2 linked regions of the Rhinolophus ferrumequinum genome follow. The protein of the gene in region 2 purifies or fractionates together with the protein of the main gene of each other region. This does not show direct contact. Links are inferred from orthologs where the notes say so. Each region holds a gene or a part of one and is shown on either strand. Other genes may lie near its edges.

Evidence for each region.
Region 1: the proteins of RETREG3 (region 2) and REEP4 purify together in Homo sapiens (affinity purification with mass spectrometry; 3 studies listed by BioGRID and IntAct, with this or other methods). This does not show direct contact. The link is inferred for Rhinolophus ferrumequinum from reciprocal best matches to the Homo sapiens genes RETREG3 and REEP4.

Annotation. Positions count from the first base shown.
Region 1 is NC_046301.1:44,281,932-44,289,354, reverse strand, and holds the start of REEP4 (receptor expression-enhancing protein 4), read right to left. Parts: upstream 3,017-7,423; 5' UTR 2,491-3,016; coding exon 2,459-2,490; intron 1,635-2,458; coding exon 1,562-1,634; intron 1,171-1,561; coding exon 1,094-1,170; intron 1,002-1,093; coding exon 881-1,001; intron 466-880; coding exon 352-465; intron 1-351. UniProt on the Homo sapiens protein: Microtubule-binding protein required to ensure proper cell division and nuclear envelope reassembly by sequestering the endoplasmic reticulum away from chromosomes during mitosis.
Region 2 is NC_046304.1:38,319,619-38,327,209, reverse strand, and holds the start of RETREG3 (reticulophagy regulator 3), read left to right. Parts: upstream 1-4,574; 5' UTR 4,575-4,631; coding exon 4,632-4,870; intron 4,871-7,591. Other genes in the region: TUBG1 (tubulin gamma-1 chain), read right to left, coding at 1-19, 205-366, 450-602, 1,045-1,194, 1,292-1,378, 1,613-1,739, 2,135-2,214, 2,483-2,551 and 3 more. UniProt on the Homo sapiens protein: Endoplasmic reticulum (ER)-anchored autophagy regulator which exists in an inactive state under basal conditions but is activated following cellular stress.

The DNA.
Region 1 (7,423 bases), on a different chromosome or scaffold from region 2:
GGCTTCAGCCAGGGCAGATGCCCAGGGAAATCAAGGGCTGACCAACAGGTAAACACCGGGGAACAGGCCTCAGAACTGAAAGCAACATGGCAACCTTCTAGCCCCAGGCCTTTATGGCACCAACTAGAAACTTAAGGACCAGAGAGCAGGAGCAGCCACTTGCAGTGTCCGAGCCAGGGAAGTACACACTTCCAGCTCCACGCTCTTGCCAGTACTCCACCTGTCACCTCTTACCCCTGTGCCGATACGGACAGCTGTTATCTCTCAGCACCCTGACAGAGAGCTGGACTCGCCCAAAAGGCACTGGTGGTGGGGAGGGGCTGCTGGAGGGCTGGGGCCCACCCAGGGCACCTTAGTGGCAGCCTGCACAGCGGCTGTCGCAGCAATGTTGAGGCCCCGCTTCCCAACGCTGAGCACCGTTTCATAGCTGCGCTCCTTGGCCTGCACGATATATGTGTCAATCTCCTGTAGACGAAGGCAGAGAGAGCTCAGGGGACGGCTCGAGTCACTCTTCTTCTGCAGACCCAGAGAAGCCACTGGCTGCCACGCCTCCCAGCCTACCCCCACCCAGTGGGCCTGAAACCACACCAAGAGCAGGGTTCCACATTCACCTAACACCCACTCCCACACCTCAATGAATGCCCGTGCTCCAGCCTCCCCCCACTCCCCGCCATCCCCAAACCAACTTCCAGCTGATGTTTCACACTCTCAAAGTCCACTCCCAGGGGCCCCCATTTGATTATCCCAGAAGCAGAAGAATGCTAGACTCTGTCAAGGTCACACAGGTAAATAGCAGCAGGATTGGGATTAGAAACCAGGTGTCCCCCTCTTTCTCTCACACCCACCCCTGTGCTTCCCTCCCTGCCTCCCCCTGGGGTACCTTCTCATGTCGGGACAAGGACGGGTGGACAAATTTGCGGTAAAGCAGGCTGGCCCCCTTGGTGTAGGGTGAAAGCAGCCACAACACGAAGGCCATCTTGAGCTCATAGTAGAAAGGGAACCTGTCAGAGCATAGGAGGGGCAAGATCAGCCAGGGAGTCAGGCTGAGGGTGGGTCATCCCTTCCCACTGCCCACACAGCCCTGCACCCATACCAGGAAATAAAGATGTCTGTGAAGATTTCCACCGCCATGAAGAGTGCAAAAACGATCCAATACATCATCCACCGGACCTGGGAGGGGGCAGGGAGGTCAGAAGCCAGCGACTAAGCCTGCAAAGCCAACTCCCCTGTCCTGGGCTGACCCAGCCCTGAGATGCCAGAGAGCCTGTCCCGCTGCATTCTCTTGGCATCTGTATAGCCCTAGAGACCTGCCTCTGAGAAACTGCCACTCATTCCTGTACCCACCCCCAGTGGGCTTCACCCCTAAGGTCCTGCGCAGGCCCCCTAAGAGCTCATCCTCCACCCATACCCACTCTGCTCAGGATCCAACAGCCGATTATGCCCCTGGAGGAGGGGGAGGTCAGCTCAGATTGTCCCCATCTTGCCAAGTCCTACCATACCCCCCAAGGCTGTCATCCCACCCCTACCTGAGCCAAGCCCTCCTGCCAACCCCCATACTCACATATTCACGAATGTTCTTGGTCTTTACAGCCTTGTAGGAAGCATAAGCTGGGTACAGCATCCCAAACACCAGCCTAGAAGAGCAGCCCAGAAAGCAGAGGGGGAATGTGAGGGGCACCATGACCCTCCCATCTCCCCACAGGTGGCCACCTCCCCCACAGGTCTGAGGTGACAGGGCCTACCCTGTTCTTCCCGCTTGGCTTGCACAACCTGCATCTGAGTCAGTGCCCTGGAGGCCACCTCCCCACCCTGCTGTTTACAAACATCCCAAGCCTGCCCAGGCCTGTGCAGTGGCCCATGGGTGCATGATAAAGCCAGAGCACACACAGCCACTCAACAAGGCGGGTGGGAGACAGTCTTGTGAGCTGGTGAGAGCACCAGGCTGTCCCCTCCCATGGACATGCAATCAGGTTCAGGGCCGCCAGACCTGGCACTGCCAGGCTGCAGACAGGGATATTCAAACCAGGTACTATGTTTGAAAGGTGAGGAGGACAAAATGGGGAGGTGAGGCCAGGATGGTGAGTCACGTGACTGCGCATATGGGAAGCAGGCACCTGGATTCTCCGCCCACAACATGCCACGACACCTTGTGTTTGCCAAGGGGCTTAGGGCCAGCCTGTGGTTCTCCACCCCACGCACCTGTCTGCATTGTGTGTGAGTGCAGAAAGGGTCGACATCAGCCAAGGAGGCTTTGGGCGCTGGGGAGACAAGCTCGCGGTGCCGGGTGCCGCGTGCATGCCCCAGCCCGCAGATCCGTTAACCTTTGCGGTGAGTGTTGGGGGGGGGCGGTTGTTGTGACGGACCTCAGAAAGTCCCGTTTAGCACCTGACGTTCCCAGCTTCCACCCCAGGGGCGGGCTGGCACCCGGGGAGAAGGGTGTGAGAACGGCCATACTCACACCACCAGGCGACAGATCATCCAGGACACCATCCTGCAGTCTCAAGGGCGAAGGGAGCCCCCAAGAAGACGCCCCGAGAGACGCTCCGGCGGGGCTGGGATGGGGGAATCAGCAGAGGTGCAGGAACCAGGCAGGCGCTCAGGCTGCCCCTTGGCGGAGGCGGAGTTCGCCGCCCCCTAACTCCGCAGTGCGGAAAGACCAGCCTGGCTGGGGCGAGGAGACCAGAACACCCAGGAACTGACTTGGAGCGGAGGCCGGCGGGCGCGCTCTTCCGCCCCGCCGCGCCGCTGGGACAGTTACGGCTCCGACCCGCACGTCCTGCTTCGGAGAACCAGGGGTTCTGCTCTCGGCCGGGCGCCGCTGCGGGTACCAGGCAGAGGGTGGCGGGTCGTGGCCTCCTCTAGTGGGAGTGCCCGGGTCTCGCGGCGCCCTGCCTCCGGCACCGGCCTTGGGGCGGAGTTTGCAACTCACTTGAAAGTTGCACGGAACTGGGATCTGCCCAATCCCAGGGCTCCTGCGCGCTGCGCAGGAGCAGTGTGGCCCTGGAGGGGGCGGGGCGAGGTCAGTGAGGCGAGCGGCCTGCCCCTTAAAGGGGCGGTGCGCCTCCGACTCGCGGGGGGCGGGGGGCTAACCGTAGCTGCCGTCCTGTTCCGAAAGGTTAAGGGGTAGGAAGCGGTAACCAAAAAGGTGGGGCTGAGGGAGGAAGAAAGGAAGGAGTTTTGGATTCCAGCGTTCCGGGGCTCCTTCAGTGGCTTCTCCTTAATGTTTCGTTTTCCCCTCAGTTAAAATGGAAAGGGCACGAGATGAGTGTAGGTCCCCTCTTCGAGGCTCAGGCACAAGCTGGAAGAAGGTTTAGCTGAGCAAATCCAGGTCTTACCACACTGGGTCAGGAGCTCAGGATGGCCTCAAAGATGCCGAGCTGAGTAGAGGGAAAGCCGGGGTGGGGCGAGGGAACCGGAGGGACTCAGCACCCCCGTCTGCCTCACCCGGAAGAGCGACTTTCAGGAGCTGGCTTCTCTCCGGGTACCTTGCCAGAGCCCGCAAGGCTGGGCAGGCTGACCGCGAGGATTTGAGAGATTCTGGGCAGGGCCCCCAGCTCCCCATGCCTTCTTCACCAGAAATTTGAAATTCCGCCTATTCCTGGGAGCCAAGAATACAAATATCCTTGAGAGCTTAATAATATCACCGACTGCCATCTTGCAGTGCATTTTTGTATGCAGGGTCTTGATTTTTACAAAGATCCTTTTTTTACCTTGTAGGGAATACGCTCAGTGATGACAAGTCATTTGCCCACCAGCACCTGGTGGCATTTGTTGCTGGTCGGTGGATAAATGCTTGGCTGGATCAGTCTTTTTTTTTTCCGTGTGGCTTTGGGAGGGGACGGGAAACACAGACAGACGCTTCTCTGGGAGGGAGGTGTACACCTGGATGATGGTGGGAGGCTCAAAAGAAAAGGCAAACGCTGCTGCTTCTACAACTTGCCACATGGGGTTGCATTCCGTGTACCTCTCCTGCTTGGTGCCTCCTTCCTCCCTCTAAATGGGGAGCACAGCATCCCCCAGCCTGCCATCCCCCCACAGCCTCGCCTCTGCCTCAAGGGGCTAAGGGGAGGGTGACAGCAGAGCTGCCCAGAGCTGTGGGGGCAGGAAGTGGGCAGTTATTACTTTTTATTGGAGCCATAGTTAACACCCACCACCCCTCAAAAGGATGGCATAAGTAATGATGGGGGCCAGGGAAAGGAGGCTTCTTGGGAATAAATTAAAACACATTGTGATTATACTTAATTATTATCATCAGTTTTATTGGTGTTGCTGAGTGTGAGAACTAGCAGTGAAACTGGCCCTCAGGAGAAACTCCCTCGAGGCCCTGCCACCTCCCTCTCCCTACCTAACCACCCCCTCCCCTGGGCCTAGCTCCCACCCTGCATTGAAGGAACAAGAAATGCCAAGGGCTAGTATCCCACCATCCATCTCTAGGCACAGTCCTTGGAGCAGAAGGGTGAGACCGGCTCAGTAGGGGACTAGCTCCGGAGGAGCGGGGTAGAGGTAGGGAATGCAGAAGACGGAAGGGATATTCTTTCTTCAGGAGGTAATGGTACCTGGGCCGAATGTGTGCATGTGCACCTTGAGTCCTTTGGTACCTGCCACAGAACCGCCTTCTCCCCTTGTGACCTTCCAGGGTCATAAGCCTGACCTCAGCATCACAGGCCTCTCTCTACCCCCGCCCCCGCCCCCCCATTCATCGGGGAAAGCTCCTCTGTGTCAGCTATAAGCCATCCCAGCTGGGACAGTCTCTCACATGGAGACTTCTGGTCCCGATAACTGTGCTTGGGAAATCTAAGGGACAAGTTGTGAGGAGTTTGCAGCTGAGAGCAGGGCCTAGCATGCAGGCGCATGACGCTGGCAGCTGGGGGGTATCATCCTCCTCAGCTTTGACAGAGTGAGTGGATTCTGCCTCCCGTGGCCTTTGGTCCTGAGCTGTTGACACAGTCACCTGGTTACACTGGGTTGCTAAGCAGCTCTCTGGACACACGGATGACCCCCAGGGCAGATGACCAGGCAGGCATAAAGTAGATTTCATTCCCCATGTGCAGAGAGCTGGGCATTCAGGGAGAGAAGTGTTTCCTATCCTTGGGAGTAGCCCGAGGTGGGGGTGAGGAGAAGACAGTCAGAGTGATATTTATCTTGCTCCTGAGCGACAGGCTGACAACGGGTCCGGGAGACTCAACTCACTTTCCCTGGCAACCTCTCCTTGGCACAGCGTGAGGGCCCATTCCCCATTTGAACAAGCAGGAATTCCCAGAACAGTATGGCTGGGGGACCCAATGGGGCGCCTGCTAAGCCAAGGGCACTTGCATATGGTTTGAGGAAACGGAAACCCAGACACATCACCTGTGAGATTCTCCATTGTGATGGGTGGTCAGGAGCAGGGTTGGTTGGGCATCTGAGACTACAGGTAAGATGTGGGGTACGGGGGTTTTCAGACCAAGGGTGGATAAGGAACCCTAATTCACAGACAGCAGTTCTCCCTAAAGGGCACCCTTCTCCTCTCCCACAAAACAGCCTTCTCTGTGCTACCTCTGTGTCTCATATAGTCCTACAGACCAATGAAAGTCATACTTCTGTGCCAGACATACTCTTTGAAGTGTCTTGCGTATATTAATAGACTAGCTATTGAATGCATTTAAATTTCACACTAACCCTGTCAGTTAAGTATCATGGTTCTCCACATTCTACAGATGAAGAAACAGATACAAATAGGCTAAGTGATGTGGTTGAGGCCACCCAACTAGCAGGTGGCCCAATCAAGATTCGACAAAGTAGGATTTATCATCTGTGTTGCAGAGGGAATTCAGGCTCCGGGAAATCAGTCCATTTGCTTGACATCTCACACCCAGAGCAGAGGGTGGCAGTGATAATGGATATTTACCCAGCAGAGGGGGTGGGGAGGAAAGGCACTGCTGACCTTGTCCTTGGTCATGTTGATTGGAGTGACCTGACAGGGGGACAGACTCCAGTTTCAGTGGCCCCAAAACTGTGATCTCCAGGAAGGAACATTTGGGCCATGAGTCAGCTCCAGGTGGTGGGGACGAGTCACATTGGCCTAGTGTCATCACCATGAACTCCTGACCCCAGTACCGGCTGACCTTGCGGGTGTCCACTCACTCCTCGGAGGGAAGGGGGCAGGGAGGAACAGGGTCTGAAAGCCAACGCTTTCCCCCTGGGAGCAGCAGAGACAGAAAAAACACACTCGGTTCTTAATGAAACAGCTACTGCTGACTGTTGCCACTGGACACCTGAGCGCTGGCAATGGGGTGGGAACTTTTTATTTGAAGTAAGTGAATTATAGCATTGCACCCAAGTGCCCCCAGCATCCTGCCACCAGGAGCCCCTTCCACAGTCTGGGCACAGGGAAGAGCCTCCCTTCCCCCTGCCTTCTTTACCCGCCTTGCCCCTCCCAGCTATCCCCAGCACACAGCAGAGGGCAGCAGAAGCTTGGCTCCCAGGAGCCACTCCATAAGGCCCTCACCCCTCTACCACTCAGCTTGCACTGAAAGGCGAGGCCCCTGGTGTGTGCCTCTGTGGACTGGAGGGGTGCCAGGTTCCCCAAGATGCTCTCCAGCCCAGCTCTACTCCTGGCACCCACCCACATGGTTCAAGTGCTTGCAGGGCCCCTGGCCTGACCAGCTCTTGGACCCATCCAAAGGAGCCAGCACAGCTCAGGGTCCACATCTCAAAGGCGGGGCTGAACCAGGGGTTGGGGATCTGAGGTTGGGACAGCTACAGGATAGCAAAGCAGACAAGCTTTTGTCTGGGTGGCCTCCTGTCCATGGGGCCAGCATCAGAAAAGGAAAATCCAGGGAGAACAGAGCCAGCACTAGGAAGAAGTCAGGGTCTGCTGGGGCTGTTGTTACTGCTTTGGGCAGAGGGGCTTTGCCACCAGGAGGTCAAGATGGTGCCCAGAGGCTGGCACTACTATTCCCATCCTTATCAGCTGCAGGGTGTGCATACCAGGGGTGAGCAGAGGAGGACGGTACTATGTGCCCCCTCCAAGAAGAGAGGCAAGACAATGATGGGGAGCCCCTTTCAGCCGGGCTGAATCTGCATATGTGCGAGGGAAAATGGGTGTGGACAGGTGTGTGTGCGTGTGACTGAGGGTGCGGGCCAGTGTCCGCGTGTGCATGCAGGAGGAGCGGAGCGGGGGTGAGTGTGCCCACCGTAGGAAGGATGTGGTCGTGGCTGCAATGTGGGGTATAAACAGGTTAAACAGACACCTGGAGCACCAACAGGAGAGACCAGAGGGTCAGAAGGAGTAGCCCAAGACCCTCCCTCCCCGCACCCCTCCCCCTCTCCAGGCTAGTGCATGTGGAAGGCAGCAGAGCGAGGGGGCCTGCAGATGGGGTGTGGGGTCCACAGGTGTCCACAGACAGAAGGGCCCCAGGCACTGGATTTCCTGGGGCATCTA
Region 2 (7,591 bases):
GACAGGTCCGCTCAAAGAGCTTGGGGTGTGCAGAAAGCAGGGGTCACAAACAACCGAGGAACAACATGGCCCAGAGAGCCAGAGAACCATGGCTGGGCTATCTCCACAGTAAAAAAGCCAGAAGCAGAGCAGCGGGAATGCAGAGAGGTGAGGCACAACCAGGAAAATGATTATGGGAAAATAGGTGCACACCGTGAGACTCACCGAGGAGATGCTGGTGTGGTTGGCCATCATGAGCCCGCTGACCCGGTGGGCAGAGGGCAGGTAGGGAGACTTCCTTGACAGGGCCACCTGGATGCTGGCTGGGCCCCAGGGGATGAAGTTGGCCAACTTCCGTTCCCGGATCCTCTGCAGGCTCTTGTGGACCTGGGGTGGGCAGAGGAGTGGTGGTGGTCGCCTCTCCTCTACCCCTGCAGGTTCCAGGGGTGGAATGAAGGGGCCTCACCTACCTGAGTGGGGTCCACCTCCCCCTGGATAATGTTGAGGATGGCAATGTAGCAGTGGTTGGTCTGGCGATCCCGGCCGGTGGACACCATCACATTCTTGGGCTGCAGCAGCCGCCTCATGACATCCAGGACCGTGGTCTTCCTCACGCTGGCCACCTGAGGCGAGAGTGGGCCACAGGGAGCAGGCTAGCACTGAGGGCACAGTGCAGGGACGCACGGACAGACGAGTAGGCGGCACGTGCCCCCACCAGACTTGGGGCAGTATGGTCTCTTTGGGGAGTGTCTTTGGATTCAGTTCTATACCGAGCCCCTGCTGTGGGATCAGGAATCTGAGCCCTCCTCAGCTCAGCAAACTCATGCCCCTGTGCAGGAGCACACGCAGACCCTGTACAGCCCAGGCCCTGCAGGAAGCCAAAGGCAGAGGGAGAGAGGAGAGCGAGTCAGCAAGGAAGTCGTACAGTCTGTGCCAGTGCCTGAGCGCAGAGCCTCTGGGGGCTGCACAGGGCAGGTCCTGGGGCAGCAGGGAGAAGAGAAAGGCTAGCTCAGGGCCTGCGGGCCCAGGGCCAGCCTGGCCTGGGACACTGAGGGCCCTTCTTACCGACTGGTCCGTGGTGAGGGGGGTGTAACCAGTCATGAGGAAGTGGAGCCGCGGTGTGGGAATGAGGGAGGCGATGAGGCCGATGAGGTCATTGTTCATGTAGCCCGGGTAGCGCAGGGTGGTGGTGCTGGCCGACATGATGGTAGACACCTGGGGACCGAGGTGCCATGTCATGCGTCTTGCCTGGGGTGGCCTCCCTTCCCCAGATGGCACTCTGAGCCAAAGGAGTCCAGGAGTGGGGCCTCACCAGCTGATTGATCTGGGAGAAGGATGGGTTCTGGATGTGCAGGCGATCTGTGGCGATCCGGTTCAGGGCTGTGTTGTCCAGCACCACCTGGGGGGACAGGAAGAGGTGGCAGATTTTTGGGAACATAAAGAACATGAGCTCTGCCTGAGCCAGGGCTCTGAAGCTCAATTTCCTCTGAGCCTCATAGCCAGAAAGACCGATCCAAAAGGGATTTGAATAGCACTGGGGCCTAGAAGATCTCAAAATGAAAGTTTTAAGTGTATGAAAATGGTGAAACAGACAAGGGTATGGTAGTAGGAAAAGGTAGAATCTAGGACTCACCACACAGTCTGCGTTCTGGGTCAGCCTTTTGAGTGTGAGCAACGAGTTGTAGGGCTGGACCACCACGTCGCTCATCTCGTCCTGGTTGGGAAACACTGAGTATGTCTGCACCAGCTTCTTAGGGTACCTGGTGGGGATTGGGAGAAGAGAGTCAGGGTGACAGACTGGATGCTTGATACACATAGGGCTTCCAATAACTGCCTGGAAGCAGCTGAATCTGGACGGGGAAATTGGTGCTGGGCCATGGGATCAGTAGAAAAGGGAGAGGTGACTTTTGGAAGTCTGTAAGTTTCCCAAAGGGCAGAGAGACATCTTAGGATCTAGGGTTCTAAATCCAAACTGTCCATCCTCGCTGACCCTTCATCTCTCCACCTAGGACCCAGATTGTAAGGTCTGGGTTCAAGCCGCGGGGGTGGCTAGGAAGGCCCTTTCCTGCTCCAGTGAATAACAAGGTATATCTGAAGGGACTCTCAGTTACTTGGGAAACCAAGTCCTCCCAGGCCCGTCAAAACTCAGACGTACCTGTCGTTCAGCCGTTCTAAGAGGTAGGAGCCCAGGCCAGAACCTGTTCCCCCAGCAATAGAGTGACACAGCACGAAGCCCTACATGGGAAAGGGGCAATCAGTGTCTAGGTTAATCTAGTGAAAGGATTTCAAACTGGACCCATCCCACAATTTCTCAGACCCCTATCTTCCACTTTCCTGCCCCCACACATAGAGCTTAGGAGCCTGCCTTATTTCCAGCAAGGTCCGGTGGCTTCTGTCCAGTGCAAAGGGTACATGGGTGGTCTTATACCTAACAGATGGCTTCTAAAGGGTAATGCTGAGCCTTCCCTATGTCGGTTCCCACAAGTAGTGCTGAGACACTCACCTCTAGACTGTCACTGCCATCTGCCTCCCGGTCTATGATGTCAAAAATGTCCTCATGGATCTTCTCTCCCTGTACAGATATGGGGAGGGTCAGAGTGGGACAGGACCATGGGACAAGGACTCTGAGCTCACAATAGCGACCCTCGATTCTCCTTATAGCAGCGAAAAGGGTTTTTTGGAGCACAGGGGCCCTGCTTTTTATTCTCATTGAGAGACAGTATGGTACAGTGGTTAGGAGCAGGCACTCTACATCCAGACCGCCTAGGTTCATACATCAGCTCTAGTTCTATTTAGCCGAGTGACTCTGGGCAGGTTACCTATTCTCTCTATACTTCAGTTTCCTCATCTCTATAATGAAGGTATTAATACAGGTCCGTATACCCTTATCCAAAATCCTTGGGGCTTATGGTTTGGAATTCAAATATTTCATATTCTAGAAAGGTAATATGATACATATAATGTATTTTAAGCAAAATGCCAGCAGGGTCTGAGGTGCCCTAACCGAATACATCAATATTTCTGCAAAGAAAGGTATGAGTAATGACAATAAATTGGATAGAAATTATAAAATAGCCTGTCTCAATAGATTTGGTTTTGCTGTTAAATCGTCTTTTGCTTTCAGTTTTTTGGATTTTGGAAAGGTAGATAAAAGTCTGTGAACCTGTAGTACTTCTAGGGTTGTTGGGAGGTTTAAGTAAGTTAATACATATTAAGTACTTAGTATGGCCTGTCACACAGCACTAGCTAGTGTAATGTCTTAAGAATATTACATAGTTGACTTAGAGAAAAGCACTTCCCTCAGTCATGTCTCTCTCCCTCTCCCACTCATACATCCTCTATCTAATTTCATCTCTCTCTAGGAAGTCACTGGGCCTGTTCCCACACAGGAAGGGCATTGCGGGTCTTGCCAGGGAATAGCAAACGACCTGGGAGAATCCGCTGGCCCAGTTGTTGCCAGCTCCTCCTCCATGCTCCGACAGGTAGATGTTCTCTGGGTTGTAGAGCTTGGCATAGGGAGAGTTGAGGATGGAGTGGATCACCCGGGGCTCCAGGTCCAGCAACACAGCCCTGGGGATGTAGTGCTCATCGTCCGCCTGTCAACGGGAGTCCAGGAGGGGGCCCACTCAGCTGAGGCCTGCCCAGTCCTCGGTCCTCCCCACTCTGGCTCCTGCCTGCCCTCCCGCCTCAAGCCAGCAGCCCTGGCTCCTTTGCCCAGCGGGGTTTCCCAAGGCCACTGCCCATCCTTTCAGGCCCCCTGGCCAAGTCGCTGGGAGCACCTGGTAGAAAAAGACGTCCTTGCGGTCAGTGCCCTCGGTGGCGAATTCCTCCACGATGCCCTCGGGGCTGATACCATGCTCAGCGCACAGTTGTTTCCAGAACTCGAACCCAACTGGAGGGGGGAGGCGGGCGGAGGAGAAAGAGGATATCTAGGTCTGGGCAGGTTCCAACTAGGAGCTGGGGGACTGAGCGCCCGGGTCCAGGGATAGGAAGTCAAGGCTCAGCAGACTCCCATGACAGAGGAAATAGCTGTATGCCAGCGATTGGGCAGGGAAGGGCTTTCGGGGTTGGACAACTGAACACTGGGTCAGGCATGTCCCGCGTTTTGGAGAACTACGATTCTGGAAAGGGCAAATGGGAGTCCAGTATCCCACAGCAAGACCCCATTGAATCTAAGGAACCTGACTAGCGGAGGGGCCGGAGGTTCGCTCACTCTGATTGCCGCACTGGCCCAACTGTAGGGTGATGATTTCCCTCGGCATCGCTCTTCAGGCACCGGCGTTGCAGTCACTCCTGCTAGCAAAGCCTCCGTGCGCCAGCCCGCCTGCCGCACGACGCAGGCGCCAAACAACCCGCTCCGCCCACGAACTTTCTCCGCTCCAATGAGAAGTGAGTTCTGGCGATGGCACTTTCTTATTCATTTGGCTTCACTAGTACCGACTGCGCGTGCGCGGCACCGGATCGGGCTCGGAGCTGGTGAGAGGGGAGCATGGTTTGACGTAGCGTTCTGTCTGGGTGGAAGCCAACTAGAACCCAAGCGCAGGCGCAGTGTGGAGGGAAGCGGCCTTCCCCGGCCAAATCGCGCATCTGCGCAGTCGGTGTTATTGTGACTGTCGGGCCGCGGCCCCGGATGTGGTGGCTGAAGGTGGGAGATGGCGGAGGCAGAGGGGGTGGCTGGAGCGCCAGGCCCAGTTTCGGGGCCGACTTTCAGGGGCCGCGGCGCTATGTCGGGCTCCTTGGAGCGGGACCAGCAGGTTGAGGCGGCGCAGCGGGCCCTGGTGGAGGTGCTGGGGCCTTACGAGCCTCTGTTGAGCCGGGTGCAGGCAGCCCTGGTGTGGGAGCGGCCAGCCAGGAGCGCCCTGTGGTGCCTGGGGCTGAACGCGGCTTTCTGGTGAGAAACTGGACCCTCAGAACCCCTCCGCGGAGCGAATTCGTCAGGTTTCTTTAGGGCACTACCTCTCGCCTCACCTGTTTTCTTCGCTGCACTGGCTCCTTCCTATCTAATTTTGCCTCACTTCCACTTCATCCCGCCTGCAGGCTTTGGCATCGCAGTTCTCCGTAGGGCCTTCCAATTGTCTTCCCTCCTTTACCTGCTCCCGCACCCTCGCCCCGCACATCTGGATCTGGCAGGAGCATCTAGTAACGCCTTGAGCCGTCCGCGGTGAACGAGGGCGCCTCATTTTATCCAGGGAAAGCTGGGTCCCTTTAGGGCCATCACCTCCCTTCTCTTGTCTGCTCAAATGTGGTTTGAAGACTGTCTCTAGAGAGTTTAGTAGTTGTTACTGGGGTAGATGCGTGAGGCGTGAGGTCTTGGAATGGTATCCATGGGTGTGATAAGAAAACAAGGTCGATTGGTCTGAATTAGAATTAGCCCATTCACGGAAGTTTGTGAAGTCTGAACGTCAATGAGAGGCTCCAAAACTGCAACTTGAAAGTGGTAAGCTTTTAAAGAACAGTTGTGAAATAGTGATTGTGAGATTTCACCCGGTTGAAAACCCCTTAGAATTGCAACTCTCCTTGTTCCAAGGAATTGGTGAGAGGAGGCATCCTTAGCCGTGGCAGTTGAGGATGTCTCACAGTGCGTGTGAGTTTTCCTGAGCTGGGAGTGGGACTGTAAATATATTTTGAGACTCTGTATGTTTCATGCTCTGTGAAATGGAACTGTGGCTTCTCTCAGTTGTCATTACCTAAAGTGGACTTCGGTCTTCACAGGATCTGCCAAGCAGATCGAGGGAAAGATTATTGATCAAATTCCCAGGGAACTGACGTGTAGGGGTGGGGGTGCCTCTCCAGCTGAATGAAATAAGACTATTCTGGATAAAGCTGAAACAGAACAGTGTGTATCCAGCAATTTTTGGTTCTGCTAAAAATACTTTCCTCTTAAAATTCTTGGTTTTAAAATCAAAACGTAAACAAACAAACAAACAAACAAACAAACAAACAAAAAAACGTTTAGTATCCTTTCTCTGAAAGAAGGTTTGTCAGTCAGCTGGAGCAAAACAAATAATTCCACGTTCGTGATCAGACAGTGTTCAGCTATTAGGTTAATCCTCTCACAGTTTGAAGGAGACTCAAGTTAAAGTTGTCACAGTAGCCTCTGCCATTTGTTGCTTCCAGAGTCTTTAGCAAGCTTGATAATAAACTTTTTTTTTTTTTAACAGCATTCTTCTTCTTCTTTTGTTTTTTGTTGGTAGTGCTTCCTTGATCCCCAGTTCCTTAACTTCTCTCCTGTTGCTCCCTGTCAGGAACTCTGAAGTGTAGCACCTCATCCAGGAATGTTGACCAGAATGACCTTTTCTTCTCCTACCGCCTCCCCATCCTAACCCCTAACCCCAGACCATCCTGTCAAAACTTCATTCCCTACATTGGGATTGTACTCCGAGGAAAAAAAATTGGTCCTCAATAAACCAGTTTGTATCAAAGTGTGACTGGCTGATACATGAAAACTTTATCCGGATTGAAATAAACACCAAGGGTTTATTAATGCCGATGGATCAGTTGCATGTATGTTGTTATTTCTGGGACGGGGACTTTGCACATATCCCTTGCCTGAGAGAGATGTTTGAAGTGGAATGCAGGTGAAGGTCTACACGTAAGGAGCTGTTGTTCTGACGGAGCTACACCTTTCAGTGTTACAGTGTTAGCTTTAATGTTCAGGCCCGCAACAGTGTTTACGTAAGTTTATTAATAGGCCGTATTTGGAAGCTCCCTCAGATCCCCTTTTCCTACTCCTGGTCTCTTATTAAAGCATTGTGATGGGTCTTTATCTCTGGCGTTTCCTGGTAGCTTGCCTGCTGTGTCTCCAGAACAGTGCCTCTCGTGATTCCCATCATACGCTAAGTAGGTGGGGGAGAGAGAGAGCGAAATGAGGGTGTGACTCCTGAGATTGAAAGGGCAAAGGAGTGTGCCATTTATGGAGAAGACTCATACCTGTGAAGGGTACAGAATGACTGACAGTCCGGAGGCTGAGGGAGTTTGGCGCTGGAGTTCACAGGATTGTTTGTTTTCGGGAATGTGCTTTCTGGGAAGGTAGTTTGAGGCGCAGAATGAAAGACTTCACATTGCAGTAGCGTTATATTGAAGATGGGTGTCTGTTTACGTTTCAATTCGGAATGTCAAAGAGTGACAGTTTAATTCTTGGACATTTGAAGTGTTTAGGAAATGAAAGAGAAGAATTGGCTCAGGTCAGAGGAATCAATTCTGAAATATTTTTCTTTTATTATTGTTTTGAATAATAATATATCACTAACTGAGGTGTTTTATTCATTTTGAGGTATTATAAGATTGGGTAGGAGTAGAGAAAATCAGAATTCAGGTAGTCACTTTCACTGTTCTGTATTATCAGTGAAGGTTTTTCTGTACCTGTGAATGTGCCCTCTTAATAGAAACAACAACATCATAAAGGTAGAGATAGATGTAGATACCTCGCTACTATAGTATTTCAAGGCCTTCACTCTTGTTTTTTTTTTTCCCCCAAGTTCCAGAGAAATGGTGATCATATCAGAGATCTGCCAGCTTATATTGCTCCTGGTCACTGATATGTTATTATCTCTAGCATAATAACAGACATGTCAGGCCCCCCTCTCCAATTGCTTGTTTTTTCATTAACCTC